Linked DNA regions of Oryctolagus cuniculus. The protein of the gene in region 7 interacts with the protein of the main gene of each other region in a pairwise test. Links are inferred from orthologs where the notes say so. Each region holds a gene or a part of one and is shown on either strand. Other genes may lie near its edges. The genes, in order: RASSF5, HSD17B12, TMCO6, HK2, TRIM23, retrotransposon Gag-like protein 8C and UBQLN1.

Region 1 (4,118 bases), on a different chromosome or scaffold from region 7:
TCCCCATCTCTTTAAACAAGGGAGCAGAATGTGGGAGTGCCAGGGGCCACACGGAGACGCAGCGGCAAGATTCAAACACAGGGCTCAGGTTCCCGTGTGTACTCGCAATCACTGCGCAATTCAGCCTTGTGAACGTCTTCCTCCTGATCCTGGCTTTTCCAAATGAAAACACACGGATGCCACCATGGAATCAACCTTAAAGAAGACATTCAGTGGACTCGCCCTGCCGGCTCCGCCTGCCAGCCCTCATCCAGTCCCATCCACTCCCAGGTGCACGATTAGTGAGATTACTGATGACAGAGACTCCTCTCTGGATCCCACGGCTGCTTCCTCCCTGGTGTTCATACATGGGGGACCATGGGGACCAGCAAGGGAAGAGACTTTACCAAGCCACACACAAAGAGGTTGGGCCACAGATCTGGGTGCTTCTAATTGAAGAATTTCCTTTCATCATGGCATATAACACATTGGTACACACACACACACCCACTATCACCAAACATAAAATCACAAACTATGTGCCAGGTGCTGCCATTGTGGGGTAGCAGATAAAGCTGCCGCCTGTGACACCAGCATCCCATGCCTGTTCCAATCCCAGCTGCTCCACTTCTGATCCAGCTCCCTGCTAATGGCCGGGGAAAGCAGTGAAGGATGGCCCAAGTGTTTGAGCCCCCCTGCCACCCACATGGGAGGCGCAGCTGAAGCTCCTGACTCCTGGCTTTGGCCTGGCTCAGTGCTGGCTGTTGCAGCCACCTGGGGAGTGAACCAGCAGATGGAAGCTCTCTCCCTGTTTCTCCCTAAGTCTTTCAAAGAAAAAAAAAATACATGGAAAATGCTCCACAACTAATACAGTTCCGGAAAATCTCAAACTGGATGCCAGTGAGGCAGACTTCCGGGATCCCAGTACAAAATGCCGTGACAGTGAGGTCACAGCCTCTGTCCCTGCGTACAGGGCCAGTGGGTAGAGGACCCTTGAGAAGGCAAAGGCTGCCCACATGTCCAAGGCCAGGTTGCATCTGATTCTGCTGTAAGGTCAAAGGCATTTGCGACAGGACAGCAGCCCTTCCACCCACAACACACGGACGGCTGTCTAACTTCTGCTCTTCCTCTTTAATAAGCACCTGGACGGGGAGCCTGGTGGGAGAAAGAGCAGCAGCCTTTTCCCCCTCCAATTTTCCCTTCCACTTGATGCTGGCTTTGAGTCTGATTCGGCCATCCCGGCAGGCAGCTGCAGCGCGGAGCACATCAAACAGCCTCAGCTGTGGACTGCAAGGGGTGGCCAGACAGGGCTTTCCCGACCGGGAAGGAGCTTCGGCCTGGGGGACCGGAGGCCTTGGCAATCCATTGCCAGAGGTGCCTGTTAGGGGCTGTGTCCTTGCCTGAGCTTAATGCTGCAGATAGGCAAAACCTCCCCATCAACACACAACCACACAGCCACCACAGTTGCGGTTGCGGCAACAGCAAACGCAGCAGGTGGGGGTGGACGAGAGGGCCATGTTAAAGGAATACACACACCTAGCCGAGGCGGGGCGGGGGGGTGGGGTGGGGTGTGCTCAGATAATCTACCTGCTGGACTTCTGCGAACTTGGAGGATAGCCTGGCTCAGGCAGCAACCAGAGGTGCCCAGTGGGGGAATTTTAGAGCATGAAGAGGGGGTGGGAGGAGGGGAGCGCAAACATTGCCGGAGAGTGCAAAGGTTGGAGGGGCACAGGTCCAGGGTGACCTCAGGCTCTGCACCTGGCATCCCGAGCCTAACCAGGTCAAACAAGTCATTTTGCCATCAACTCCAATAAGCCAGGGTCAAATGGGCATCTCAGGACCAGCCTCACAAACAACTCTCCAGAACTTGGGACCAACGCGAGAAGGGAACAGAATGACCTTGTGGCTGCGGCCATCAACCAACCTGCGGCTGTGTAAGCAAGCGCGCGCGCGGCGGCAGGGGGGCGGATGCAGGCACCTGGGGCGTGGGCGGGGCGGGGGCGGTGGATGTTCGCACCTGTGTGGTGCGCGCCCACGGGGTTGGGGGAAAATGCACGCACCTGCGTGTGCGCGCGCGTCTGTGCATGGGGGTCGGCGCGCAGGCACGCACCTGTTAGCGGAGAGGTGTTTGTTAAATGCCGCGTTAACCATTCCCAGTCAGGGAATTAAGGAGTGCGCGTTTCCGGGAATTACCTGAAAGTCGGGTCTTCCCCGCGGACAGAGAGGGCAATGCCCCTGTCCCCCTTGCAGTCCCCCGCCCCAGGACTGCGGTCTTCCCGCGCCCCTCCCCGGCCCTGCCTTGCACTTACTAGCGCAACGCAGCGCCTGCCGCAGCACCTCGCGTCCGCATAGGTCACACCAGCCGGGGCCGCCTCGCAGCGCCGATTCCGCGAAGCGGTGGCCCTCGCCTCGCTCCGCAGGGACGCGGGGATCCTGCGGCTGCTCGAAGATGCTCCGCACGTCGCGGGGCCGGGGCGCTCCAGGGCGCCGCCGCAGCCTCTGCTGCAAACCAGGCCGGAGAGGGCGAGCGGGGCGCGAGGCCCGGGACTGGGGCTCTGGGTCCCCCCGCGCAGCCCTGCGGCCGCCGCGCCCCTCGTGCGCCACGGGCGCAGTGGAGAGGGGCGCCGGGACGCAGCGGCGCGAGGAACGGCCGGGGGGCGGCGGCGAAGGCTCGTGGCCACTCAGGCTCTGCAGATAGCGCGGCGGTTCGGGGTCCAAGAGCAGCGGGTAGGGGCGCTGCCCGATGGCCGAGGACGCCATGGCCATGCCGGGCTAGTGGCGGCGGCTGCGCTACTCCCAAGCCAGCCCTGAGAGAAGAGGCGGCCCCAGACGAACGCGCCTTTAAAGGGACCGCAGCCCGCGGGGGCGGAGCAGGGGCGGGGCGATTTCAGAGAGGCAGGAAGGGCGACCCGAGGGGACGGCTGCCGGACGGAGGGCAGGGCTGGCGGCTGGGCGAGTGTGGGGGGCTGCCGGCGGTTGCCGAGGGTCCGCGCATGAGAGCTCTGTAACGAGCAACCCAGAAGGCGCGTTTTTGGAGGCGCCTCTACCTGAGGCCCTGGCTCCCACTCTATCCAGTCGCTTCTCCCGCACCAGACCCACTCCCGACACCACTAGCACCCACTGGGCTCAGGGGCGCACGGCTCGGGCACCGGCTGGGGATGGGGTCCAAGGAGGGCTGCGCCGCCCGAGGGCCAGCCCGCCTCGTTCCCGGCGTCCGCGCCCCACGGGAAGGGCCGCGCTCCTCTACCCTCCCACCCTAGTCGCCGCCCCCTGGGGGATGCCCCTCGGGGATACCCGCTCGCGCCCCGCAGCCGCGCGGAGTCCCGTGACGCGGGGGGACGCGCGCTCAGCCGCCGGCTGGAAGGCGGCGGGCAGGGCGACTTCCCCTCTGGTCGGGTTTCCCCGTCCTCAGATGCCCTGCCCTGCTGGACACTCCTTTTCCCGGAAGGCCCTGGATTGGGAGAACGCTGGGGTGCCCAGGGGTGGGGGAACTTTTCTTTGTGGGGGGGCCCTTCTCTCTCCTCGAGGGCTCGAGTGAGCGCTGTGGGAATCTCGGCCGGAAGCGCCCCGATTTGTACCTGGCACCGACGGCTCGCCGGGTGAAGGAGAGAGAGAGAGAGAGAGAGATCGATCCAGTCCAGAGGGCCTGCTGCCTGGGCTGATGCCCTGCTCTCTCCAGCTTGAGAGATTGAAAGTTTGAACAAAGGACGGGGCACTTTCTTCCTGCAAGGGTGCAGCACCCTTGCCCATGGAGACAGCCCCTTCTCCTGGGAGTGCAGACGGGCACAGCCTGGACTCCTGGATCTTTAATGCCTCCCAGGATCCTGTCAGGGACCACCCATGTCCTGAGAGCCCTCCAGCCCTGTTTGTTCTGACCGTAGATTGGGCTGAAGCTGGGGAGACAGGTAGATGCTCCTGCATACTAGCCGCTTCCTGCTAAAGCACGGGTTCGGATTGGTTGGTTGGTTTAGAACAGGTCACCAGGACACAGCGTTGTCACACAGCGGGTTATCTGCAGCGCCAGTTAGAATCCCAGCTGTGGGGGCAGCGGGTTAAAGCCCTGGTCTGCAGCATCCATATGGGTGCCGGTTTGAGTCCCAGCTGCTCCACTTCCAATCCCGCTCTCAGCTATGGCCTCC
Region 2 (3,500 bases), about 110 Mb from region 7:
AACAAACCAAATGCAATCCACACATGCAACGGAATATTAATCAGCACTTTAAAAGGAAGGGAATTCTGACTTATCACCAGGGATGAACTTTGAAGACATTATACTAAGTGAAGACAGTTACAAAAGGTCAAATACTGTACAATTCCATTCATATGAGGAACTAAGAGTAGCCAAATTTATAGAGGTAGAAACTACCCAGTCCTGAGGGGAGGGGCAAATGAAGAGGTAGTGTTTAATGCATAGAGTTTCTAATCTGGAAAATGGAACATGTTCTACAGATGGATGACATTAATGACTACACAACAGTGTGAATGTGCTTCATGCCAGTGCACTGCACAATTAAAAATGATGAAAATGCTATATGTATTTCTCCACAATTTTTAAAAAGAAGAGACTATGAATAGTCTAATTATCTCAACATAAAGTAGTAAGAACTTATAATAATTAGGATTCAACTGCTTACACTCCATTTAGTTCTACTTTAGGGATCCCTGCTTAAAAAAATTCTAGGGGGCAGTTTTTAAAAATCCAGACTTATATATGTAAATGAAATAGAAACTGGGGCCCATGCTGTCGTACAGCAAGTTAAGCCACTGCCTATAGTGCTGGCAAACCATATGGGAGCCAGTTCAAATACTTGCTGCTCCACTTCCGATTCAGCTCCCTGCTGACAGCCTGGGAAAAGCAGCAGAAGATGGCCCAAGTCTGTGGGCTCCTGCCACCCATATGGGAGACCTGGAAGAAGCTCCTGGCTCTTGGCTTCGGCCTGGCCCAGCCGTTGTAGCCATTTGGGGAGTGAACCATAGGATGGAAGATCTCTCCCTCTGTCTTTCCTTCGCTCTCTGTAACTGTGACTTTCAAATAAATAAATCTTGAGAGAGAGAGAGAGAGAGAGAGAGAGAGAGAGAGAGAGAAACCATGTCTAACAGTATGCTAACGTCACATCCACTAACTCAGGAGTGTGATTTTCTTTTGTTGCCAAGACAGCAACAGTTGCTGTGGAAACCACACAAAAACAGGGATACTTAACAGAAGCAAACTGCACTCACCTGCACAAAGATGCCCTTGCTCCTGTATTCCTCATGGAGGCACTGAGAGAAGAAATCTACAAAAGCCTGGGAGGCAGTGGGAGGGAGAAGAAAACACACAGATTACATCAATGTGCCTGACTTGTAGCCATAGAAACAAAAAATAACAAACTAACCAGTTAACACTATCATTTCTAATCATTCTTTTTCATTTCAAAAGCAGACTACACCTTAAAAAAACACCAACAGCTCAAGTTGTTTTTGCTTGCCACTAAATGAAGTATTATCTTACCAAATACTACGCAGAACAAATTTTAATTGGAAAAAGCTCTTCTTATCCTTATTTTCCCCCAGAAAATTATTTTCCAAGAAAAATATTTTTATATTATAAATCAAAGCATGCATTTCTTCTTTCTACTTGCCACTCAAATGGAAACAAAATATGAATTCTGTCTAACTCAGTTCTGTGGGGACTTTGCTGTTGCTACAAAGAAAAGAGCAAGCATCCTCTTGCAGCTCTAGGATGGAAAGAGCCAACAAGAGCAGAGCTGAATGTGACAGCACCTCTTCTGATCATGGTACAACCTGAAATCCATTTGTAAAAAGCCATTTTTTGGGGGAAAATATGGACTTAATCTTGAGCTTGAAATGCAAAGTATCAATAATGACTCTGGAGGCCAGTGCTGTGGCCTAATGGGTAAAGCCGTCACCTGCAGTGCTGGCATCCCAAATGGGAGCTGGTTCAAGTCCCAGCTGCTTTACTTCTGAACCAGCTCTCTGCTAAGGCCTGGGAAAGAAGAAGAAGATGGCCAAAGTCCTTTGGCCCTTGCACCAGCAAGGGAGACCCAGAAGCTCCAGGCTCCTGGCTTCAGATCCGCCCAACTCTGGCCATTGTGGCAATCTAGGGAGTGAATCAGTACATGGAAGACCTCTCTCTCTTTCCCTCTGCCTCTCTGTAACTCTGCCTTACAAATAAATAGCCAGCGCCGTGGCTCACTAGGCTAATCCTCCGCCTAGTGGCGCCGGCACACCGGGTTCTAGTCCCGGTCGGGGCGCCGGATTCTGTCCCGGTTGCCCCTCTTCCAGGCCAGCTCTCTGCTGTGGCCAGGGAGTGCAGTGGAGGATGGCCCAAGTGCTTGGGCCCTGCACCCCATGGGAGACCAGGAGAAGTACCTGGTTCCTGCCATCAGATCAGCGCGGTACGCCGGCCGTGGCAGCCATTGGAGGGTGAACCAACAGCAAAGGAAGACCTTTCTCTCTGTCTCTCTCTCTCACTGTCCACTCTGCCTGTCAAAAATAAATAAATAAATAAATAAATAAATAAATAAATAAATAAATCTTTTAAAAAAAGACTCTGCAAGAGTCCCAATTAGTAGTAATTCTCTGTTCGTGGAGACAGGAAAGAAATTGGGGTCACCAATCCCTTCAGGAAACCTGGCATTACGCTCCAGGGTTACTGAAATCAAGTTAATGGCAGGGATTCCAGGGTGGTGCCAAGCTTTCCCAAAAGACAGCCATGATGATATGAATTTTATCAAGTGAAAAAGAAGGCCAATGTTTTGTTCCTGTCTTTTGATGACATATTACAAGTTCTTACTGTATAATATATTAAGCTCACTTTTCCTGAAAAGCTTGTTCAATGTTAAGGTCTGAGCAGTCATTTTCCCTTTAGAGATGGAGTCCTTGCCTCAACAATGTATCTGAAGATGAGGCTATTGACCTGCAGGCAGCAGGAAATGCACTCGAAATTATTTTCCTAGAAGTAATGTGAAGAGGTGAACGGTAATGCTGTGTGAAATTATGGCTCTTACAGAGAACTCTGGAAAATTCTCACATCCCAGAAGTAACAAGGAGTTACCAGTAAATTCTGGATAATGGGACAAAACAGTCATTCTCTCACTCAACGCTATCCTGTGCCTAGTATGTACATGTATGTGTTGACTTCTTCCAAATTGTGTGCAGTTGACTCATTCATCTACCAAATTCAGAATCTTCTACTCATTAACATCATGTTCTAATCACTGGTCTAGGCCAGCTCTCCATGAAAGGACAAGTGTCACCTTTAAAATCAGTAAACTACCGGAAGGAACAAAGGCCTGTGTGGATCTCATACCCGGGTGTCACACTAGCTCTGGCTCTCCTGAACCTTGCATTGGGTAGTTTCCGTTTTGTTGCATTCCATTGGAAAACTGCCAAGATTTGACCTTCAGGAAACTTTAATCTCTCAGCTTAGAAAGTATTGCTCACTCTTACACCCACTCCTCCCCTAAAACGCTGTTCACCTTGGTTGCAGAGTAGATGGTCAGCAGTGGAACTGGGAACGTGCCACTGGCAGAGGAGATGTTCAGAATTGCACCTTTAGATCTAAAAAGGAAAATGTACCAAGTCATCACAGTGTAATCATATACACAACGGTCTGAGAACTGCAGACTGAGATATATAATTATTTGAAGCAGAGTAACACAGATTTTT
Region 3 (4,114 bases), on a different chromosome or scaffold from region 7:
GGAAAGAGCTACACGGAACTCTTAAATTCCATTTCCCCTTTAATGGAGGAGGAGCTGCACATCTGGTTCTAAGCCAAACAAGCAGGCCTCAGAACACACTGCCCCCTGGGTGTCCTGTTGGGCATGTCCTGGTATCCTGAGCTATGCCCTGAGGCCAGCCCAGGTTACTGTGGCACCCTGGAGGACCAAGATATGACCATGGCCCGGAAGTCAACAGGCAGATGTGGAATTCCAGCTCTGCCTCTGACATTGCGAGGCTTGGGCAAGTTTCTGGGCTTCCTCCGTGTAAAATGGAGATATTAGTAGCACTTGTCTGTGAGTAAAGCTGCATCTGTTAAGGGGAGCCTTGAGTGTTCTTCTCAGAGCCTCCACATTCAGTGGACTGAGGTCACCGCGGCTCCTCGCCAAAGCGTATCACTCTGGGGGAGGCACTCTGGGCTGGCAGGTCCAAGCCGCTAGGGGAGATGCTGCTTCTGCAAAGATCCCGGATTCACACCTCAATTCAACAAATATATATGAAGGGTCAGGGTTGGGGTGAAGCCCTGGGAAGCAAACGTGACTAAGCCGCAGCTCCTGACGTGCTCCAGGCCGTGGAGGCAAACATGGATCCAGAAATGCAGTCCGCAGACAATAGGACTTTTGCAGAGAGAAACTCACACGGCTTCTGGACAGAGGCAGCCAGCACTGCAGAAGACAGTACATGCCTGGGACTGGCTTTCGCAGGGTTGACAGTATTGCCAGGCAGAAAGAACCTAGCCTTCTCGGTGACAGGCCGCTTGCGGAGCTTTCCCTTTCCCAGAACTTTGTAGGGGAGCGACCGCACCACATCAGCGGCTGATGCAACTCCAGCCTCGGTACCGTGTCTGCTCGCTGACCCTCGTCCACAACTTAGCAAGCTGCACATAAATAATGATGCTTTTCTCATTTTTCTCACTCGCAAAATGGGGGTAGACATTCAAGGACGCAGCGCGCGTCAGCTGCTAACGCCGGGCGCCGGCGGGGAGCCGCGTTATTCGCGAAATGGCATCGCGGCTCGTCCCGAAGCGCGTGTTGGGGGTGGGGAGGTTGTGTTTGCTGAGTGGACGGCGACAATGCCTGCCTGCGGCGGCCGGGTTCGCGGATGAGTTACTTTCATTCCCAGAACCGGTAAGGAGAGAAATCCGAAGCGTAGGGCTGGAAATTGAGACTCCTGCTCCCATGCGGGCTCCCGCAGGATCTCTCAGACTCCGGCCCTAGCCCCGCCCCCAACGTAGCCCCGCCCCCGTCGCGATCCGCCCCGCCCCCTCGTGCTCGCCCCGCCTCTCCGCTCGACTCTGCGGCTGCGCAGTTGCTGCTATTTCCTAAGCCGCCAGGCGGAGTCCCAGCCTTGGCGTTCCCTGCAAATATCTCGCAGCTTCGCCATGTGGAGGCGGCGGCAGGGCCGTCTCAGGCCGGTGGTCTGCGGGGTGGAGGAATTACGTTGCCGCCGGCGGGAGCGGGAGGCAGGTGCGGGCGGGCGAAGGAGCACAGGGGATGTGGCGGTCGGATAGGGTGAGGGGACTCCCGGCTCAGAGCAGCGGGCTCTGGGGCCTGGGCGTCCCTCCCACGCGCAGCCCGTTCTTTTGCCGCCAGAGCTGCGGAAGGCGCGGAGGGAGCAGCAGCTGATCAGCAAGAGGCTGCTGAGAGACGACGTCCCAGAGGAAGCCGGAGAGGGCTGTGCGGCCGCCGTCCTCGGGGAAGCCGAGGTGAGGCTGCGGGGCGGGCGCGCGGTGCAGTCCACGCCCCCTGACGCCAGACTCCTGCCGGTGCCTGAGGTCTGCCCCAGTCCAGAACGCGAGCCGCCTGACGCCTGCATCCGTCCAGTGGGTTAGGACCGAGCCTGTGACTTATCCTACCGCCTTGTCCCTCAGGCTCAGATCAATTCAGGTCCTAGCCATTAGAAGTCTGAAGTCTGGAGGTGGCCTCGCGGTCACAGCTGCCACCGCTCTTTGTGGATACCACAGCAGCCTCCTAAAAGGTCACCTCACATGGATGGCTGCCGCCCCCCATACGTCTTTTAAAAACAAATAGAGACCAAATTCCTGGGTGTGCCCCGCAAAGCCCAGCTTGTTCTAACCTCTGCCACACTCATCCCAGCCCCTTTCAGTAAACCGACCGCTTTCCTGCCTCAGGGCCTTTGCACTTGCCACATCTAAACTCCTTATTTGTCATCGTTGAAAACCCAGGTACCTGCACAGTATCTGGAATACGGCAGATAGTTAGTGCTTACTGACTGAGTAAACGAAAGGGTCTGTTCATTCAGTGAGCACTGGGCATGCCTTGTGTGTGTTGCCTGCATTTGCATGTGTAGTTTACAAACCAGCAGCACCACACGTTGGGATCGGCTGAGGCGTAGGTTTTGCCAGGTTGAGAGGTACAAATGTTTTCTTTGAAGTAACCCACTAAGAATGCAGGGTAGGTGTTGTTATTCCTGCTTTTCAGGTGAGAAAACTGAGGTGCAGGTCCCTGGTGGAGTAAATGGCAGGGCTGGTGTTGGATCCCAGTTCTGATCCTCTCCCTGACTGCTCGCTCCGTGAATTGGCACCTAGCAGCTGTGTTAGTGTCAAGGACAGCTTCCGGGATGGTGTGACACTGGAGGACGTGCAGGTGAAGCGGGCAGAGAGCGACCCAGGACTTGAATTCTCTCCCTGCCCTGCTCTCCAGGTGCAGCAGTTCCTGTGGCTAGCCCAGCGGGGGACAGAGGAGAAGGAGAGAGAGAAGGCTCTGGTCAGCCTCCGTCGAGGCTTGCAGCACCTTGAGACACAGCAAATCTTTATTCGGTCCGTGTGGGTGGTGTGAGTGGATGGCTGGGGCTCTGAGGGGACAGGAAAGGTGGCAGGGATGGACCCCAGGCTGAGCAGGGCTCTGGTGCTCACCCACACAGGCTGGAGGGCAGCATGCGGACCCTAGTCGGGCTGCTGACCGGCAGCCGGGCCCTGTTGCAGCTTGAGGCGGCTCGGTGCCTGCATGAGCTCTCTCACTCGGAGCAGTCCGCGGTGGCCGAGGCCTGCCTGCCGGCCACTTCCTACCTCCTCACCTACCTCTCCGGTCACAGCTCAGACTTCATAGTAAGCCCTGTCCCCTCCTACTTTGTTCTTGGCTTAGATTTAAACATTTTAGGCTTTTGGATCCAGTTTGAGTTGGCATGTGGCGGGGGCTGGGGTGCAGAAGAAAACCTGTTCCTCCCGATTCCCATAGCTGGGCATCCAGCTACTGTCTCCTCACCTTCTCGTAAGCCTCAAAGAGAGGGCTGCTGCACCCTCTGTCCCTCCTCTCAGGAGCTGTGTCTGTATACGCTGGGTAACCTGATCGTGGAAAGTGAGGCTGTGAGAAGGCAACTCCTGCCACAGGGCATCGTTCCGGCCTTGGCCACCTGCATCCAGGTGAGTGCCTTTCTCCCTTGACGACTTTTACTCCTCTCCTCTCCACTTCCCGCTTGCTGTGGTTAGGTAGTTGCAGCCTCTGCCTTTGCCCTGGGGCTGAGAGTTTCGGGAGACCTTATGATCCAGCTTCCAGAGTCAGATCCCTACTCTGTCTGCTTCCAGTCCCCACATGTGGCTGTGCTGGAAGCCCTTGGATACGCCTTGTCGCAGCTTCTGCAGGCTAAGGAAGCTCCAGAGAGGATCATTCCGTAAGTAAAGTTATGTCTCCAGATGTGTAGCCCAGAGTGGCCCACCCAGTAGCCCCTGGATGTCTGATGAAGTCTGACTCCCAGAGTTGCTGCCTGTTTCAGGTCCTTGTGTCTGGCTAGCAAGGGCTTTGGGTATGGGAACTTTCCCACTTGCTGTTAGGGTTTGGCATCTTTGTGGGTCCTGCTCATAGCTCTGCTTCTGCTGGCAGCTCTATCCTGGGTTCCACTCTCCCCCAGCACATGCTGCAGTTGTTGCAACCTGGTCCAAAGCTGAACCTTGGGGTCGCTGTGGAGTTTTCCTGGTGCCTTCACTACCTCATATGCAGGTAACACAGGGCAACTGGGAGAATGCTCGAGACCTTTCCCAGGGCTCCCTTCTGTGACACCTTGGTCTTTGAACTTCAGTTTCAGATATTGCTGTAGTCTGTTTTCATATCCATGTGCTGCTCTCTTTTGCCCACAAGA
Region 4 (4,126 bases), on a different chromosome or scaffold from region 7:
GAAGACACTCTGTGTTTGCTCTTGAGTTCCGAAGCATAAACTGGCAAAAGACAGCAAACCACCTTGACTCTCATCCATGAAACACTGGGAGAAAAGTGTTCCCGATGGGGCTAGTTCTGGGCAGGTGGCCCCAAGCACTTCCGTGCCCTCAGACTGCACAATATGCAAGACGATGTCGTCCCAAGGAGATTTCAGAAGAGTTCACGTCAAGGCCTTCCCAAAGACGAAAAGTAAACTCGACCCTCAATCTCCTCTCCCAATGCCTCCGTCCAGCGGCAGCCCACAAGGATGTTTCCCACATACTCTGTCTTCCCACTTCCTATCTGATTGCAGATAGAATCAAACAGCTCTGCTCACCTGAACCGGTGCCTGCATCCCAGCGCGGGCCACCTGGTGAGTAAAAGGCCCGCCTCAATTCTGCCCCCAGTGGTAACTTAGAGAAAATACACCCTCCCCGCGCGTAAAGGCTGCAAGGTGACGGTAAGTGGCGCGATCAGAAGCCTACAGGAAAGGCATTTTCAGGCGGCTGTGGGTAACGATCACAACCCCACAAAGGGGACAAGACTGCTAGCACCTGCGTTTTACGAAAAGAAATGAGTAGCCCAAGGAGGTCGGGGTCGGCTGGTTAATAAATCACAAGTCAGGGATCGGAACCCATTCCCAGATACCTCGGCTAATTCTGGGACCACGGAGAAGACCCCATTCCAGGACACCCGCGAGGCGGTCTCAACCCACAATTCTAGCAAAGAGTAGGCTTGTAAAAGAACTCAAACGCTCTGGAGCGTCAGTCACACCCGCCCGAGAAGCCCACCCTGGGATTAGCGACCCTCCACTTTGTACTTTAGGACCTGCCAAGAGTCGACAGACTTCCCCTAAGAATTAACTTGGGGAGCGAAGCCCAGGGGGGGCGCCAGCGTCCTGCCATCCCCCAGACTCGCTTCCAGACACACTGAACGAACGCGCGGAGCCACATCCCGGGAGCGAGCTCGAGGGTAACAGCCGTTCACGGACGGGGAAAAGCTCCGCTGTACCCGCCGCCCCCTGCTCCTCCTCCAGTCCGCGACTTGCGCGCCAGGGCTCCGGCATCAGCAGAGTGGGGAGACCAGCAGGTCGTCCTGCACAACCAGAGTGTCTAGACATCTGCATTCCGGTACTGAAATTTCAAGTGTGCAATGGAGCAACGCACGGTCCATTGCCTCACCGCTCTGAAACACACGTCCTCCGCAGCCCATCCCCTCCCTCAAATCCTAGCCAAGCCTCAGGCCAGGAGCCAATCCCTTAATCTGCAATGCAGAGCCTCGATTCACCCCAGAGGGAAAGCGCCCCGGGCACGGCCCCGCACCCCTGGGAGAGGCTCCCCGCCGGGCCCCAGGTTCCTTTCTTATGTAAATGGCCCGGCGCGGGAGAGGGATCGGCTTCGGGAGCTGCTACGAGCGAGGTGGGCACGGCAGGCCCTGGCCCAGGGCAGGAGAAAGCTCGCTTTCGGAAGGGCCGAAATCTTAAGGACTCTGGGAAGGGGGGAGAGTAAGGTTGGTCCCCTCCGAGGAACTTTTTTAAGGGCAAACCCGAAAGTAACATCCAGACCCCGCCCCCACTCGGAGGCGGGCCCGGGGGACACGAGGCCGAGCTGGGGGCGGGCGATGCGAGCCCCTGGCCGAGCCTCAGTTCCGGCCGCCTCAGTTCCGGGGAGGGGGCGCGGCGGGCGGAGTTCCTCCGCTCGCTTTCCTGCTCCTTCCCGGGCAGGTTCCCCGAAGTCCACCTCCGCAGGGCCCCGGGACAACTGGGGACGGGGGCCGCGCGCCTCCTTCCCGCGTATGGAGCCCCACGCGGCCACGGAGCCTCCTCCCCCGGGCACGATTGTTCACCACGTGTTCTCGCCGGAACTCGGCCGCAGAAGGGGGGTCCTACCACGTGGGCGCAGTAGTCCCTGACTACGTGCCGGGTGACCCGCCGCTCTAGAAACAAAAAAAAAAAAAAAAAAAAAAAAGAGGTAGGGGCGGCCGCGCGAGCGCGCGCAGGATGGCCGCGAGCCCCCGTGCCTCGCACGCGCGCGCTCGCCTGCCAGCGCCCGGCGGACGTGGCTGCTCCAGCCCAGGAGTTTCATCAGCAGCCCGGACTTTTTCTGCGAACCTGGCTCTGAATGGAGAGGAAGCGGATCCCGTCAGGGCCAAGGAGGAGGTCCCGGAGACCGCGCAACTTTGTCAGAAGCGAACCGGCCGCTTCGCTCTGCTGACTTACCTTCTGCACCTGATCATGGTTGAGCTCCGTGAAGAAGTAGGCGAGCAGATGCGAGGCAATCATCCTGCCGCGGCCAGACGGCGCCGACTTGGGAAACCGGGGCGCGAGCGCTTGCGGGGGAGGCTGGCGGGCGGTCCGACCGCTTTGTACCTAGGCTCGGCGGCCCGACGGAACGCAGGGAGTCCACTAAGAACGCTAACGGCGATGGCGCGCCTGGCTGGGGGGCCCCGGCTCTCTGGAAACAGGGTTTTCTGGAGTTAAAACTGGTAAAGGCGGCTAAGTCTCACTCCCAGGCAACGTGTCCGGCTGCCCTACGTCAAGGCGCTAACTTCAGCCACAGGGCCCTAGGGCTCAACATGGAAAGAATCGCAGCCCGGCTCCACTGGGACGATCAGACCTCTTAGACAAACACGCGCGATGCTCCCGCCCGCAGATCTTTCTAGCTGAGTGACACGGCGTTGCCCGCGGCGGCCCGGGACTCCTGCTGGAGTTTCGTGCAACAATGTGGCTTATTGAAGGGGGCTGCCGGCTCGCGGGCCGCCCGGCCAGTGACGCGCACGCGTCTATTGGCTGCGCGGAGAGGGTGTGTGCGCCCGCAGGCCGCCCGCCGCCCCGGCACAGCCAATCAGCACGCACGGCCCGCGGGCGCGGCCGCTCAGACACCCGAGCCGGCCTTCTGGGGAGGCGCGCCCGGGGCGCGGGGCGGGGCGGGGCTGGGCGCCCGAGATGGGACGTGTGTTCCGTGGCAGGAGGCTGGGACCGAAAGGCGCATGAGCCACCGCCGCGTCAGGCGCGCCTCTGGGTGGGGGGGCGCGTGATCGCGGACCCGCGATGTGAGACGACTGGAAAGACAGGTCACCGGGCCAGCACACGCCCTTGTACAGAGAGAGGGCGGTCTTCTGGATTCTCGGGACCCTGTGAGAGGCCCCTACCGCGCGCTCACATGTCTGGAGCATCCAGGTTCTCATCCATCGTGGCTCAACCTGCCAAGTGAGCCCTAGTAGCTGGTGCTTATGCTATGCTTGGCATTACCAAAGTCGGCCCACCGCCTGTGCCTTTGGAGACCCCGAGTGGGTGTGGGTGTGGGTGTGTAGAGGGACATGGAGGCTGGCAGGAATGAAACACTGACGGCAGCAGACGTGAGCTTGGGGTGAGAGGATGACAACGCTGGGTCGCGGCGGGCCCCCGCAACGGAGAGAAAATCAGCTGCCTGCCGTACAGAAGAGAGTCCCTCTCCCACAGTGCGGTGCTCTCTGCGGCGTGTACAGATCTTGTCAGACAAGTAGTAAGTGTTCATTGCCTGTCTGTCTTCCCCTCTCAGGGATGCTGGGAACAGTTGGTCACCCGCATCTGGATCCACGGTCCTCACCCAGGCAGAGTCCGGGACGCTCCGCCGTGCTGGTTTCTGGCTAGGCTCCTTAGCCCCTGTTTCTCAGTGGGTAAACGCTGGAGGGTTCCAGGGCTGCCTAATCTAGTTACACTGTCTCCCTGCACCATCCCTCCCGGCCCCATGACTGTTATATCATCTACATGCCGCTGATGACTCACAAGAGTAAATCGACAGCGAGGACCTCTCCTAGAGGTCTGGAGACTTCCTTCTCCAGCTGCCATTTGTCATCACCACCTAAGCGGTGAGCACCTGACGCGTAACATGCCCAAAGTCCCACTGAACTTTCTCTCCACATCTTTTCCTTTCCTGGTTGTCCCAGCAAACGGCAACACCATGCACCCTAAGTCATACTGGGTTCCTATGGCTCCACCCTCACAGCCAGTCAGTCCCTCAGCAAGCAGTCGATTCAACCTGTAAAACAGAGCATGTGTGCGACTTCTCTCCTACCCAAGCCGCCGGTGACTCAGCCAGAGCCAGTGCCTTGTCCTGACTTTGTGC
Region 5 (4,295 bases), on a different chromosome or scaffold from region 7:
CATCGTTTTAAAAAGGAAGACAAAAGCTCCACTTCATCAAATTTAATACAGAAAAGATATTCACAATAGAATTAGGCAGTATAAAATAAATCTAAGATTTTAATAAATGCTCTCATTATTGAATACTGCATGTTAAATTTATTTCTGACAATAACCTCAAAAGAATAAAATTAAAACTTTGCTTGGGGTCGGCACTGTGGCGCAGCAGGTTAAAGCCCTGGCCCGCAGCATCAGCATCCATATGGGTGCCAGGTTGAGTCCCAGGTGCTCCACTTCTGATCCAGCTCTCTGCTGTGGCCTGGGAAAGCAGTAGAAGATGGCCCAAGTCCTTGGGGCACTGCACCCATGTGGGAGACTTGGAAGAGGCTCCTGGCTCCTGGCTTCAGATCAGCTTAGCTCTGGCCATTGTGGTCATCTGGGGAGTGAACCAGCAGATGGAAGACCTCTCTCTCTCTCTCTGGCTCTACCTCTCTCTGTAACTCTGTCTTTCAAATAAAGTAAATCTTTAAAAAAAAAAAAAAAAACTTTCTTAGTTCATTCACACTTATACTTCTGACCCATCACTAAACAAGGTAACTTGCTCATGTTGTTACTATAGGTTTTTTTTTTTTTTTCAAAAACCATTAGCATAATTCCATTTAGTAAGCCAACCACAGGTCCAAAAATTATTCAGGTATCAACTTAGTAGATAGTCTTTCCTCAGTATCTATGAACAGTTATTGAAGAGAACAGTGTAAGAAATTAAATCCTAGATGGGGGGTGGTAAATTTCATACTTCACAAGAAAATTTCAACTTATTACATGTAAATCGAATTTGAACAAACCAGATCATACTTTAAAAGGACTATAAGAAAGCTTAGGAAACAAAAGAAACTTTGCAATTAATTTTAAAATGTAAATAATTTTGCAATATCAGATTTTGTTTTTCCTAACAATAAAAACCCTGCCATTATCAACTTGGTCACTAAACAAGACAGCATTTTACAAAGCATTAGCATTATAAATGTCAACTTTCACTTTCTGATGAATTTCTTCTTTCATCAAAAAGGACTATCTTATTGCACAGTTCAGAATATTTTACATGTTAAAATAAAAATGAACATGCTAAAAATGCTTCTAATATATCAAATTCTGTAACAAATTCTGCATCACATTTTGGTACTTTTTTTCAGATTATAAAGCAAACAAGGTAACAGAAATGTAAACGATACTCCAATTATGGAATTAAACTTCAAGTCAATTCACAAATAATCTTCAGGTATTCTCTATTTATCAAAAGCACAATTCAATAAATAAAATCTCACCCATACAACATGCCTAATAATGAGGGCTCCTCTGTATCTCAGATATGCTGCTCTATATATTCAGAATAACTTAATTACTACATAAAGGTCAGCTGAATCAACAAGCAATAATAATGACTAAGTTGTGGGCAGAAATGTGTCACTTGCTGTTATATAAAACCAACATTAGGTGAGAAAACATAAGTGCCTACTAATAAGCAAAAGGTCAAAAGAACTTCAGATATTATCTAGTTCAACAATTCTCAGCCCTGGTTGTACATCAAAGTCACTCTGGGACTGAAATATGTGTAGAAACGCCAACCTAATAACCGCAGAAGTGCGCCATTCCTCCACAAAAGGCCTCGGTGACCCTGACATGCAGTCAGGAACGAGAATTACTAATTGCTTATAGTATTACCAATTGCTTATAGTATTACCAATTGCTTATAACATTGACAATCCCGAAGGTTGGCATGAACCATTCAGATCAGTTCTCTCTGTCAAATCCTCCGATATTTTCAGAGCACAGGGAAAATGAGTGCCATGTGTTTCAACTGACTTTTCGGTAAGTGCATTTTTGGAGCATTATACATGGTAGCATCCCAACCTTCCAGCATAGGGCCATTCAGGCACCCCAGAGTTAAGATTCAACTGTACTGCCATTGGAGACTTCTCAACCATGTCGACAGGCTGTACGGCTAAGCGGGAAAGGCGCAGCTCACCAGTAACAGACGTCTAATCACAGAAGCTGCGCCGTAGTGGACGCCGCAGGCGTTAAAGTCGCACACCATGTTAACCGAAACCTGGGTTTCCTTCCTGCAAAACGAGAGCTAGCATCCACCTCATGAGTAGATGCCAACCAGCTAAAACCCCTAACACAGTACCTGGAGGCTATAATGGCTCAATTCTACAAAACCAAGCGAGTTAACGCCTCCTAGGCTCAACTAAGATAGAGGGGCTACAGAAAGAGCGGTCCGGGCCACTCCCACAGGCCCACAGCTCCCTCTCACAAACGTCCCCGCTGTGCATGCTGGCATCTGCAGGATTAGACCCGGCAACTTCGGGCCCGGGGATCCAGGTCGCGGACGGAGGGACGCCAAGACCTGCCTGCCAGGCACACAGGGACGCCGCGGCCGCGCCTGGGCCCCAGGGATGCCGCCCAAGTCTCCCGGATGAGCCGGAGGACGGCCGAAGCGGGGAGCGCAGTCCGCAGAGTCCCTCACCTTCACCACGGCCGTCCCCCGGCTGCCTTGCCGGCCACTGTCCGGCCCAGCTCCAGGCTTGTTTACCACCAGAGCAGCCATCCCGGGCAGAGCAGCGGCGCAGGAGCAGCCCTCGGAGCCTTCACCTGGGAGGCGGGGTCGAGCCACCTACCCAGAGGCCTCCGCGCACGCCGCTGGCGCACAGGCCCAGTACGACGCGGCCCCGCCTCCCGTCAGCGGCTCCGCCTCCCGTCAGCCTCGGCTGGGTTGGAGGCACAGTCCTGCTCGTGTTGTTTTTGTTCCTAAGAAGCCTGCAACTGCTGAAAGAAAAAAGTCAAAGGAAAAAAATGGATAACACATAATTAAAGTTTAAAGGTGAAATTCCCGGCCCGGTTATGAGTTCGGCTCTCTAATGGCAAACTAGCCAAGGCGGATACTACATCTCCCTTCATGCAACGCGACTTTTGCTTGCACTACAAATCCCGGCATGCCACGTTCTCGCCCTTTTTTTAATCTCTAAGAGGCCGCGTATCGTTACAGTGGTTGCTTCCAGTCGCAATGTGTGATCGTAGACGGAAAACGCCGTATTTTCTGTGCAGATCTCCAAGAGCCAAAGGATGGCTTTGGTGAAAAGAAGCCGTTGGGTCCGTAAAGGACGCAGTGAAAGGAGAATTTAAGGTACAAAGAAGCTGTTGGGAGGACGTTTGACGCCTGTTCTGCCCGACGTACGCTTTTTTTCCCTTCCGGGCCAAGTTGAACCTCTTCAGCCCCCGTAGGCCTGGAGTCAGACGTGCCGGTCAAAATGGAAGTGAATCCCCCCAAACAGGAGCACCTGCTGGCGCTGAAAGGTAAATGTGTGCCGAGGTACCGTTGTTCTGTCTTATTCCCTTCTCTCGCAGTTTCCCGAAGGCCGTTGCCACACAGACGCGACCTCTGTGACAGGGGCCAGGCCTCAAAACACTCGGTGCCCGCCGCCCCGCGCTGCGTCCGGCGCGAGCAGGAGGAGGCGACTTGGCCTCTTCGCGTTTCGCTTTCAGAGCTGCTTTCTGGAACGAAACAGACACCTGGTCGTTCTCCCTGACCTGTGCTGCTGCAGTCACCAGATGTTTGGATGCAGAGCCGAGGCCGCGCCCCTACTGGGGAGACCTCTGCGAACCGGGGTGCATTAAAGCAAACATCCGAAATGGCTTTTCCTTCCGTCTCTCGTCTCTTAGTGGGCACTGGGAAGTTACCAGGTTTCAGGTTTATCTGGGGTGTTAGCACTGCGTAGCAACTGTGCGAAGGATTTAGCAATACATAGCCCTGCCACGCGTAACGTAGATTTGTTAAAATGTACGGCTGACCGTCACCGCATTGGGTTCCTAATCTTAACCGCAGATCGCAAATATTTGAGTCAGATTATGTCTGTGCTGAAGGTGTGCAAGCTTTTCCTCCTATCAGTATTTTCTGAACCGGTATAACCACAGTGTACTGCAAAGTACCTGCCGCCCACGTGGGAGACGCGGCGAAGTCCGGCGTCCTGGCCTCAGCTCTGGTCCAGCCCTACCTGTTAGGGACATTTGGGGAATAAAGTAGCAGATGGAGGCGCTCTTCCTCTGTCCCTCTCGTATTGTAAGTTATCCAGACGTGATTTAAAGTGTAGGGGAATGTGTTCTTATGTTGTATGCAAATACGACACCATTTTACATAAGGGACCTGAGCGTGCTGGGATTGTGGTGTCCCAGGGTGAGCCGGAGGCGCTTCTTAGGGAATACCAAGGGGTCACTGTTGGGTACTGGTATGTTGGAGACTTGCCCAAAACTTCACGGCA
Region 6 (3,161 bases), on a different chromosome or scaffold from region 7:
TCTAACAGGTTTAGAGAGTTCAGCAGCTGGGATTGAATGGTCACCAGTGAGGTCTCCATTCCCAGGACAACCAGAGGACTCGATGTAAAGGCCATATGAACCATCGAATGTCAGCGCATATGGATTTGTTTTAAGACTTCTTTATTATTTTATTTATTTGAAGGGAAGAGTGATAGAAAAGCAGACAGAGGGAAAGAGAGAACTTTCATCTGCTGGTCCACTTCTCAAATGGCTGGGCCAGGAGAAAGCCAAGAGCCAGGAACTCTACCCAGTCTCCCACACAGGTGGCGAGGCCCAAGCACTTGGGCCATTTTTTCTTGCGTTCCCAAGCACATGAACAGGAAGCTGGATGGCAAGAGAAGGTGGGGTTCCAACCAGAACCCCAGTATGGGATGGCAGAATTACAACTATGCCATGCAGTCTCAAATGTGGTTTTGAAGAAAATATGGACCGATTTGGCAAGATCACACAAGGAAAGGTGGCACACTCAGTGAACGCAGTTTCTTATTGGACAGGGTCTGACATTTATTGAAAGAATGGAAAGACTTCTGTACAGGTAGTGTAAAAGAGCCGCGAAGACCACAGGGTCATAGTGTGGGACACAAGGCACACATCAGAGAGACAGCTGCACGTTCGGAAGAACCGGGACTCGGGGGGGCGGGGAGAACTACTGTCATGTCCACGGGAGGACATGACAGGCGCGATTCGGCGCCCAGACCCTCAAGGTGTCTCTGGGAGGAGGGGGCGCGGCCTCACTCATGGTGGGAGGCCGGCTGGCCCCGCCGGGCAGCCGGCTGTCGGAGTCGGGGTCCGAGGGCCGCGGCCAGCCCAGACCCCTCGGAGGGGAGTCCAGGTGGCTCAGAAGAGCAGTCTGTCGGCGGGAGGCCGGGGGCGGCGGCGGCGGCGGCGGCGGCAGCGCAGGTGCGTGGGCAGAGCGATGCGGGCTGGCGGGGGGCGGCCGGCGGTGCGTGGTTGGTCGTCGGCCGCGCGGCGGGGGCCCAGCCTGCAGCCCGAGGGCCGGACGGCGGCCCCCGGTGCAGGGCACAGGCCGGGCCGGCGGCAGCGGGCAGGGCGGCGGCGCTGTCCAGAGCCAGGCCCAGAGGCAGCAGCGCCAGCCTGGAGCGCTATTCCTGGAACAAAGGCAAGCACGACGCGGGCGGGCGGGCGGGGGCGAGGGGACGCCGCGGCGACTCGGGGAGCAGGGGGGCGGCGGGACTCGACTCGGGCGCGAGCGCGGCGGGGGCCGCCCGCGGCGACCCTGGCGGCGGCCGGCGGGCAGCCCACCCTCCCCAGGGCAGCCGGCCCCGGGCCCGAGGCTCCGGCGGCCTAGAAGTCCTCGTCCTCCTCCCAGCCAAAGACGCGCTTCATCTCGGCCAGAAAGCCCCGGTAATCACTGAGGAGGGGACTGTCCTTCTTGATGTAGGGGATCACCCACTGCAGGGCGGGCCCCGTGAGGCGGGTGATGAGGAACGTCACCTTGAGCGCGTCGCTGGAGAACGTCTTCTCGTCCACGAACATGTAGGAGCCCGTCTGCACGATGAACTCCGGCAGCCGGTCGGTGTCGCCGTCAAACGTCTCGGGAAAGGGGATCGGGTTCCTCCAGCGACGTGTCGCCGGCCGGATCGGCAGGGCCAGCAGGGCCTTTATCAGCTGCACCCGACCGTCCATTTCGCCTTGCTTGCTCTGCTGGGCTTTGCTGGCTCTGCAGGGCTGTGCAGAGGTCAGCAAGCAAGGAGGCGTCCCCGGAAGTGCGTTTCCACGGAGGCGGGTCTAGGCCCAGGGTGGGCAGGGCCAGGGCGGGGCTTATTCACTTCAGTAGCTTTTGCTTGCAAATCTGAATGGTCACTAGTCCGCAGATGCGTCTCGCGCTAGGGCAGGGAAAGTGGGAACGGGGGTGGGTGGGTGTTGAGGGGGCGGGCCAAATACCCTGAAGGAGGCGGGGTCGTAATTGAAGGATGGGCCTGAGTTTTCCCAGGGGGACTGCAGAGGCGGAGCGGGGATGGGGGATGAGCCCAGGAGATTTGGGATTGAGTGTTGAAGGCGAGTTCGCTAATCTGCGACAGCAGATTTCAAGTTCTGAAAGTTGATGAGTCCTCTTGCTGCCCTCCTCCACGTCCCCCCCCTCATCTTTTTCTTGGGTATTTCTAGGCAGACCCTTGGCTCCGGATGCCTAGAATGCAGTTCTGGGATACTGCTTCTTCATGTATCTTTCAGCCAGAGAAGAAATGGCTCCCTGGCAGCAGATATGGTGGTTTTGCAGTATCAACAGGAGGGCCCCCAATGTGAGCAAATATCGTCCAGGACAGAATATTAAAATAATAAAGCACCATGAGCAATTAATATAAGGCAGGTTAAATGTTAAGAAATCTCAATTTATTATAAATGCTAACCATAATTGTTACCTATTTTGCTGATCCATAGGCAATTCACGACATTGCTGCTAGCTCTAAGGCTTGCAGGAGAGATACAGTGATTCTGCTTGCAAAATGCAGTCATGTATAATGTAACATAATCATTACAATAACAGATCACCACCTTTTTCATATTGTATTGTTTAGAAGCCAATTGCATTCCCCATTAACCACTTAGGCATTAAGAGGGCAACATCCGAGGAACATCTGAGCAACCCCTGAGAGAGCTGGCCAGCGGTGTGCTGCTCCTCCGCGGAAGTGGGGAAAGCGGCGGGGGTGCCGCCCCTCTGCGGAGGCGGGGGGGGGGGGGGGGGGACGGCAGCTAACCTGGAAGGGCAGCAAACCCGGGAAGGGCCGAGCAGACAAAAGAACAGCGCAGGGTCTGGTGTCGTTCCTCCGCGAATTAGGGAGCGACATAATGGGATGGAGGCCACTTGGAGTCCGTTTGCTACAGTATGGCCATGCCACAGTTGGTAATTTAGCCGCCTTTTGAAGGGCATTCTGCATGTTTCCATGTTTTGGCAATTACAAATGAATCAGCTATAAACAATCATGTAAAAATATTTGCATGAGCATATTTTCACTTCTCTAGGGTAAATACCTACAAGAAGGATTTCTGTGTCACATGATTCAAAAAAGAACTGTCATTCAACCAGGAGTAGAAGGGAACTCCTAAATCTGATTAAAGGCATCTATAAAAATAATCCCGTACAGCTAACATCACAGTTAAACTGGGGAAACTAGAATATT
Region 7 (3,500 bases):
TTTTGTGGTATTATTTTTCTGGACCAAATATAGCTGTTTTGTAGGAGGCAGATAGATATAGTGGTTCCAGATCTGAATTTTTCTCTGTACTGGCCTCTTACGTGTGGAGGTTTCTGAGCAAGTTTCCTGTATTGATGTTTATGTTTATCCTGTCAGTGTAGCAGAACATGTTTCCTCGTGAAGCCAGTCACTCCCAATTTTCTTTCAAGGGCAAAAATTCACCTTTGCTCAAGGAAAAGTCTAAAATACGATTACTTTTATTTGTAGGGTATTGCATGTCATTATCATAATCGCCATTCTCATTGAGAGAAGATGTCGTGGTTTTGTTTTTTCCTGGAGATCTCTCTTGTGGATAATATTTTCCCTTTTCCTTTTTAATTTAGTTTCTACCTTCCTCCCTTTTAAGTGCCAGCTTGGGCACTTGTGGGAAGATAGAATATTAAACAAGGTACATTACTTGTTTCCGATATTTCCAGTTAAAATTGTTTGAACACTTGCCCCATAGATGATGCTGAATAATCCCCTATTTGCTGGAAATCCTCAGCTTCAAGAACAAATGAGACAACAGCTCCCAACTTTCCTTCAACAAGTGAGTAAGAAAAGATGCCAGCTGTCTTCAGTAATGATTTGCTTGAAACTTTGATGCTGACCACTTTCCTCGATCTTCTCTGGCTGATGGCAGAACAGAGACTGGAATAGGATATCCTGTCAGTTTGTAGAGAACTCAGCTTGATCTAACTGAACCCCATTTCACTGCTGATCTTTGACTCCTCTTTCTTAAACATAAATTCTGAGGGAAGAACCATTTTATTTTTTCTTTTGAGGACTTGGGATTTTGAATGCTTTGTTAATACCATACCATTTCCTTTCTCTTTACTAACATTGACGTGCTTCCTTCATGTTACGCTTTATGGTTTAACTAATCTCAAGTAACAGGAAAGAGCTACCCAGTCTTACTTTGCAAGGTTTGGTTTCTTTGTAATGTTTTAATTTTTCTCAAACTAGTAGAATGCCTGCCTTCCAAGGGGTAGATCTCAGTTCCTCAGATTTGGAGTTAGTAAAAGTGTTAGTGTCGTCAAATAAGGAAGATTCTATTTTTTAAAAAAGTACTTGAGATTGCCATGATATTTTATTATTTAAAAAAGATAAAAGAGGCATCGATCTTGGTATTTTGAAACTGGTAGCTCTAGGGCTTTATAGATTATGCAGATAATTCCCAGGCCTGTGAACCATTGTCCAAGGTTAGTTAGTGTCCTTGATCTATGGAAATGGTGTAAGTCTTCCTTTTTTGGTCAGTCAGGTGGTGTATATTTGGAAGCAGTGAGGCTAAACTCAGGACATCTGTATTAACTTCAGATTTGGAACTATTGTTTCAGAGTGTACATTAGTTGTAAACTTGTTACAGGTAACACTTGCTCAGGAGGAATGTGTGGCTTTCACAGTACTACCATGTGTATAACTTGTGTAGTTGGAGGTGTCTCTTGGAAATAATATTTGTAATCTCCTGTTGGAGCATGCGAGGAGTGGCGGCTTCCAGAGTGTCCACCATTATGGGAATGGCTTTGCTGATGGACTTGGGGAGGTCAGGTAGTGATTTGCTGTAAAAGAGGAAATGCTTGTTATTTTGGGAAAGAAACTAATGGATAACCAGTGTCCAGGAGTGAGGTTTTAGATTTTCTCTGAAAACACAAGTAAAGATATAAGAATTTACCTTCACTGATTTTAATTCCCTTGTAACCCTCGATTTTCTTTTTCCTTTAGATGCAGAATCCTGATACACTGTCAGCAATGTCAAACCCTAGAGCAATGCAGGCCTTGTTACAGATTCAGCAGGGTTTACAGACATTAGCAACAGAAGCCCCTGGCCTCATTCCGGGGTAAGTTTATTTGAGGAAGATTATGAAAGTGTATAATGGTTAACTTTCTCTGAGAATTTCAGGGTTAATATCATTCTGCCTTTTTTGGTTGTGATTATTTTTAGTTTTTTTTTTTTTTTTTTTAAGATGTATTTATTTGAAAGGCAGAGCCAAAGAGAGAGAGATTCTGCTGATTCATTCCCCAAATAGCTGCAATAGCCAGGGCAGGGCCAGGCTGTAGCCAGGAGCCAGGAGATTCTTCCCAGTCTCCCACATGAGTGGCAGGATTCCAAGCACTTGGGCCATCTTCTGCTTTTCCCAGGCCATTAGCAGGCAGCTGTATTGGAAGTGGGGCAGCTGGGACTTGAACCAGCACTCATATGGTGGCAGCTTAACACACTGCGCCACAGTGCAAGTTCCCAAATCAGAGTTTTCAGAATTACAAGTGTTTATTAAGAAGATAATTCAGTTAATAGTATGTTAAAACGTAACTGATTGACTCCTGTCCTCTAGTTTATGACCTGTTTGTTCTTCCTCTAGGTTTACTCCTGGCCTGGGGGCCTTGGGAAACACTGGAGGCTCTTCAGGAACCAATGGATCTAACACTACAGCCAGTGAGAACACAAGCCCCACAACAGGGACCACCGAACCTGGCCACCAACAGTTTATTCAACAGATGCTGCAGGCTCTTGCTGGAGTAAATCCTCAGGTAATAACTCTTTTCTGTTTATGGATAGTATTCTTTCATTTCATAAATTTCCAGAAAGAGAAAAAAGGGGGAAAGCACAGTCCTTAAGTGTATAGAGACTAATGAGAGGCACAGATTTAAAAGATACTGAGACTAGGGGCTAGTGTCTGCGTGAAAGACTGGCATCCCATTTGAGTGCCTGTTCAAGTCCCTGCTGTTCTATTTCTTTCTTTTATCTTTTTTTTTTTTTAATATTTATTTATTTGAAAGAGTTACACAGAGAGAAGGAGAGACGGAAAAAGAAAGGTCTTCCATCATTGGTTCACTCCCCAATTGGCCGCAGTGGTTGGAGCTGTGGCAATCCAAAGCCAGGAGCCAGGAGCTTCTTCTGGGTCTCCCATGCGGGTGCGGAGACCCAAGGACTTGGGGGCCATCTTCCACTGCTTTCCCAGGCCACAGCAGAGAGCAGGATCGGAAAAGAAGCAGCTGGGTCTCAAACTGACACAAATGGGATGCTAGCACTGTAGGCCGTGGCTTTACCTGCTACGCCACAGTGCCTGCCCCTCTACTTTCTACTTCAAATCCAATATGCTAATATGGGAAAGCAGCAAAAGGTGACCCGAATACGTGGGCCCCTGCCTCCCATGTTGGAGCCCAGGATGAAGTTTAGGCCATTTGGGGAATAAACCAACAGATGGGAGATCTCTTCCATCTCTCCATCTCTCTCTCTAACTCTGCCTTTCAAATAAATCTTTTAAAAAATACATTGGGGGCCAGCATTGTGGCATAGTGAGGTGAGCCACTGCCTGTGACACCAGCATCCCAATGGGCACCACTTCAGGGCCCAGCTGCTCCACTTCCCATCCAGCGCCCTGCTAATGGTCTGGGAAAGAGCGGGAGATGGCCCAGGTGCTTGGGCCCCTGCACCCATGTGGGAGCCCCAGATGAAGCTCCAG

Evidence for each region.
Region 1: the proteins of UBQLN1 (region 7) and RASSF5 interact in a two-hybrid assay, tested with the Homo sapiens proteins (3 studies listed by BioGRID and IntAct). The link is inferred for Oryctolagus cuniculus from reciprocal best matches to the Homo sapiens genes UBQLN1 and RASSF5.
Region 2: the proteins of UBQLN1 (region 7) and HSD17B12 interact in binary tests that used the Homo sapiens proteins (3 or more experiments, as listed by UniProt). The link is inferred for Oryctolagus cuniculus from reciprocal best matches to the Homo sapiens genes UBQLN1 and HSD17B12.
Region 3: the proteins of UBQLN1 (region 7) and TMCO6 interact in binary tests that used the Homo sapiens proteins (3 or more experiments, as listed by UniProt). The two-hybrid records come from large-scale screens. The link is inferred for Oryctolagus cuniculus from reciprocal best matches to the Homo sapiens genes UBQLN1 and TMCO6.
Region 4: the proteins of UBQLN1 (region 7) and HK2 interact in binary tests that used the Homo sapiens proteins (3 or more experiments, as listed by UniProt). The two-hybrid records come from large-scale screens. The link is inferred for Oryctolagus cuniculus from reciprocal best matches to the Homo sapiens genes UBQLN1 and HK2.
Region 5: the proteins of UBQLN1 (region 7) and TRIM23 interact in binary tests that used the Homo sapiens proteins (3 or more experiments, as listed by UniProt). The link is inferred for Oryctolagus cuniculus from reciprocal best matches to the Homo sapiens genes UBQLN1 and TRIM23.
Region 6: the proteins of UBQLN1 (region 7) and retrotransposon Gag-like protein 8C interact in binary tests that used the Homo sapiens proteins (3 or more experiments, as listed by UniProt). The link is inferred for Oryctolagus cuniculus from reciprocal best matches to the Homo sapiens genes UBQLN1 and RTL8C.

Annotation. Positions count from the first base shown.
Region 1 is NC_091444.1:21,700,463-21,704,580, reverse strand, and holds the start of RASSF5 (ras association domain-containing protein 5), read right to left. Parts: upstream 2,801-4,118; 5' UTR 2,746-2,800; coding exon 2,289-2,745; intron 1-2,288. UniProt on the Homo sapiens protein: Potential tumor suppressor. Seems to be involved in lymphocyte adhesion by linking RAP1A activation upon T-cell receptor or chemokine stimulation to integrin activation.
Region 2 is NC_091432.1:21,810,879-21,814,378, forward strand, and holds part of HSD17B12 (very-long-chain 3-oxoacyl-CoA reductase), read right to left. Parts: intron 3,393-3,500; coding exon 3,311-3,392; intron 1,116-3,310; coding exon 1,050-1,115; intron 1-1,049. UniProt on the Homo sapiens protein: Catalyzes the second of the four reactions of the long-chain fatty acids elongation cycle. This endoplasmic reticulum-bound enzymatic process, allows the addition of two carbons to the chain of long- and very long-chain fatty acids/VLCFAs per cycle.
Region 3 is NC_091437.1:28,268,506-28,272,619, forward strand, and holds the start of TMCO6 (transmembrane and coiled-coil domain-containing protein 6), read left to right. Parts: upstream 1-1,314; 5' UTR 1,315-1,400; coding exon 1,401-1,485; intron 1,486-1,611; coding exon 1,612-1,724; intron 1,725-2,682; coding exon 2,683-2,798; intron 2,799-2,902; coding exon 2,903-3,086; intron 3,087-3,296; coding exon 3,297-3,401; intron 3,402-3,563; coding exon 3,564-3,649; intron 3,650-3,858; coding exon 3,859-3,975; intron 3,976-4,114.
Region 4 is NC_091433.1:128,134,813-128,138,938, forward strand, and holds the start of HK2 (hexokinase-2), read right to left. Parts: upstream 2,801-4,126; 5' UTR 2,302-2,800; coding exon 2,239-2,301; intron 1-2,238. UniProt on the Homo sapiens protein: Catalyzes the phosphorylation of hexose, such as D-glucose and D-fructose, to hexose 6-phosphate (D-glucose 6-phosphate and D-fructose 6-phosphate, respectively).
Region 5 is NC_091445.1:86,572,744-86,577,038, forward strand, and holds the start of TRIM23 (E3 ubiquitin-protein ligase TRIM23), read right to left. Parts: upstream 2,801-4,295; 5' UTR 2,588-2,800; coding exon 2,507-2,587; exon of another isoform or gene 2,075-2,506; coding exon of another isoform or gene 2,006-2,074; intron 1-2,005. Other genes in the region: TRAPPC13 (trafficking protein particle complex subunit 13), read left to right, coding at 3,288-3,333.
Region 6 is NC_091453.1:112,807,297-112,810,457, forward strand, and holds retrotransposon Gag-like protein 8C, read right to left. Parts: upstream 1,756-3,161; 5' UTR 1,669-1,755; coding exon 1,327-1,668; 3' UTR 501-1,326; downstream 1-500.
Region 7 is NC_091432.1:134,606,580-134,610,079, reverse strand, and holds part of UBQLN1 (ubiquilin-1), read left to right. Parts: intron 1-505; coding exon 506-589; intron 590-1,761; coding exon 1,762-1,877; intron 1,878-2,396; coding exon 2,397-2,565; intron 2,566-3,500. UniProt on the Homo sapiens protein: Plays an important role in the regulation of different protein degradation mechanisms and pathways including ubiquitin-proteasome system (UPS), autophagy and endoplasmic reticulum-associated protein degradation (ERAD) pathway.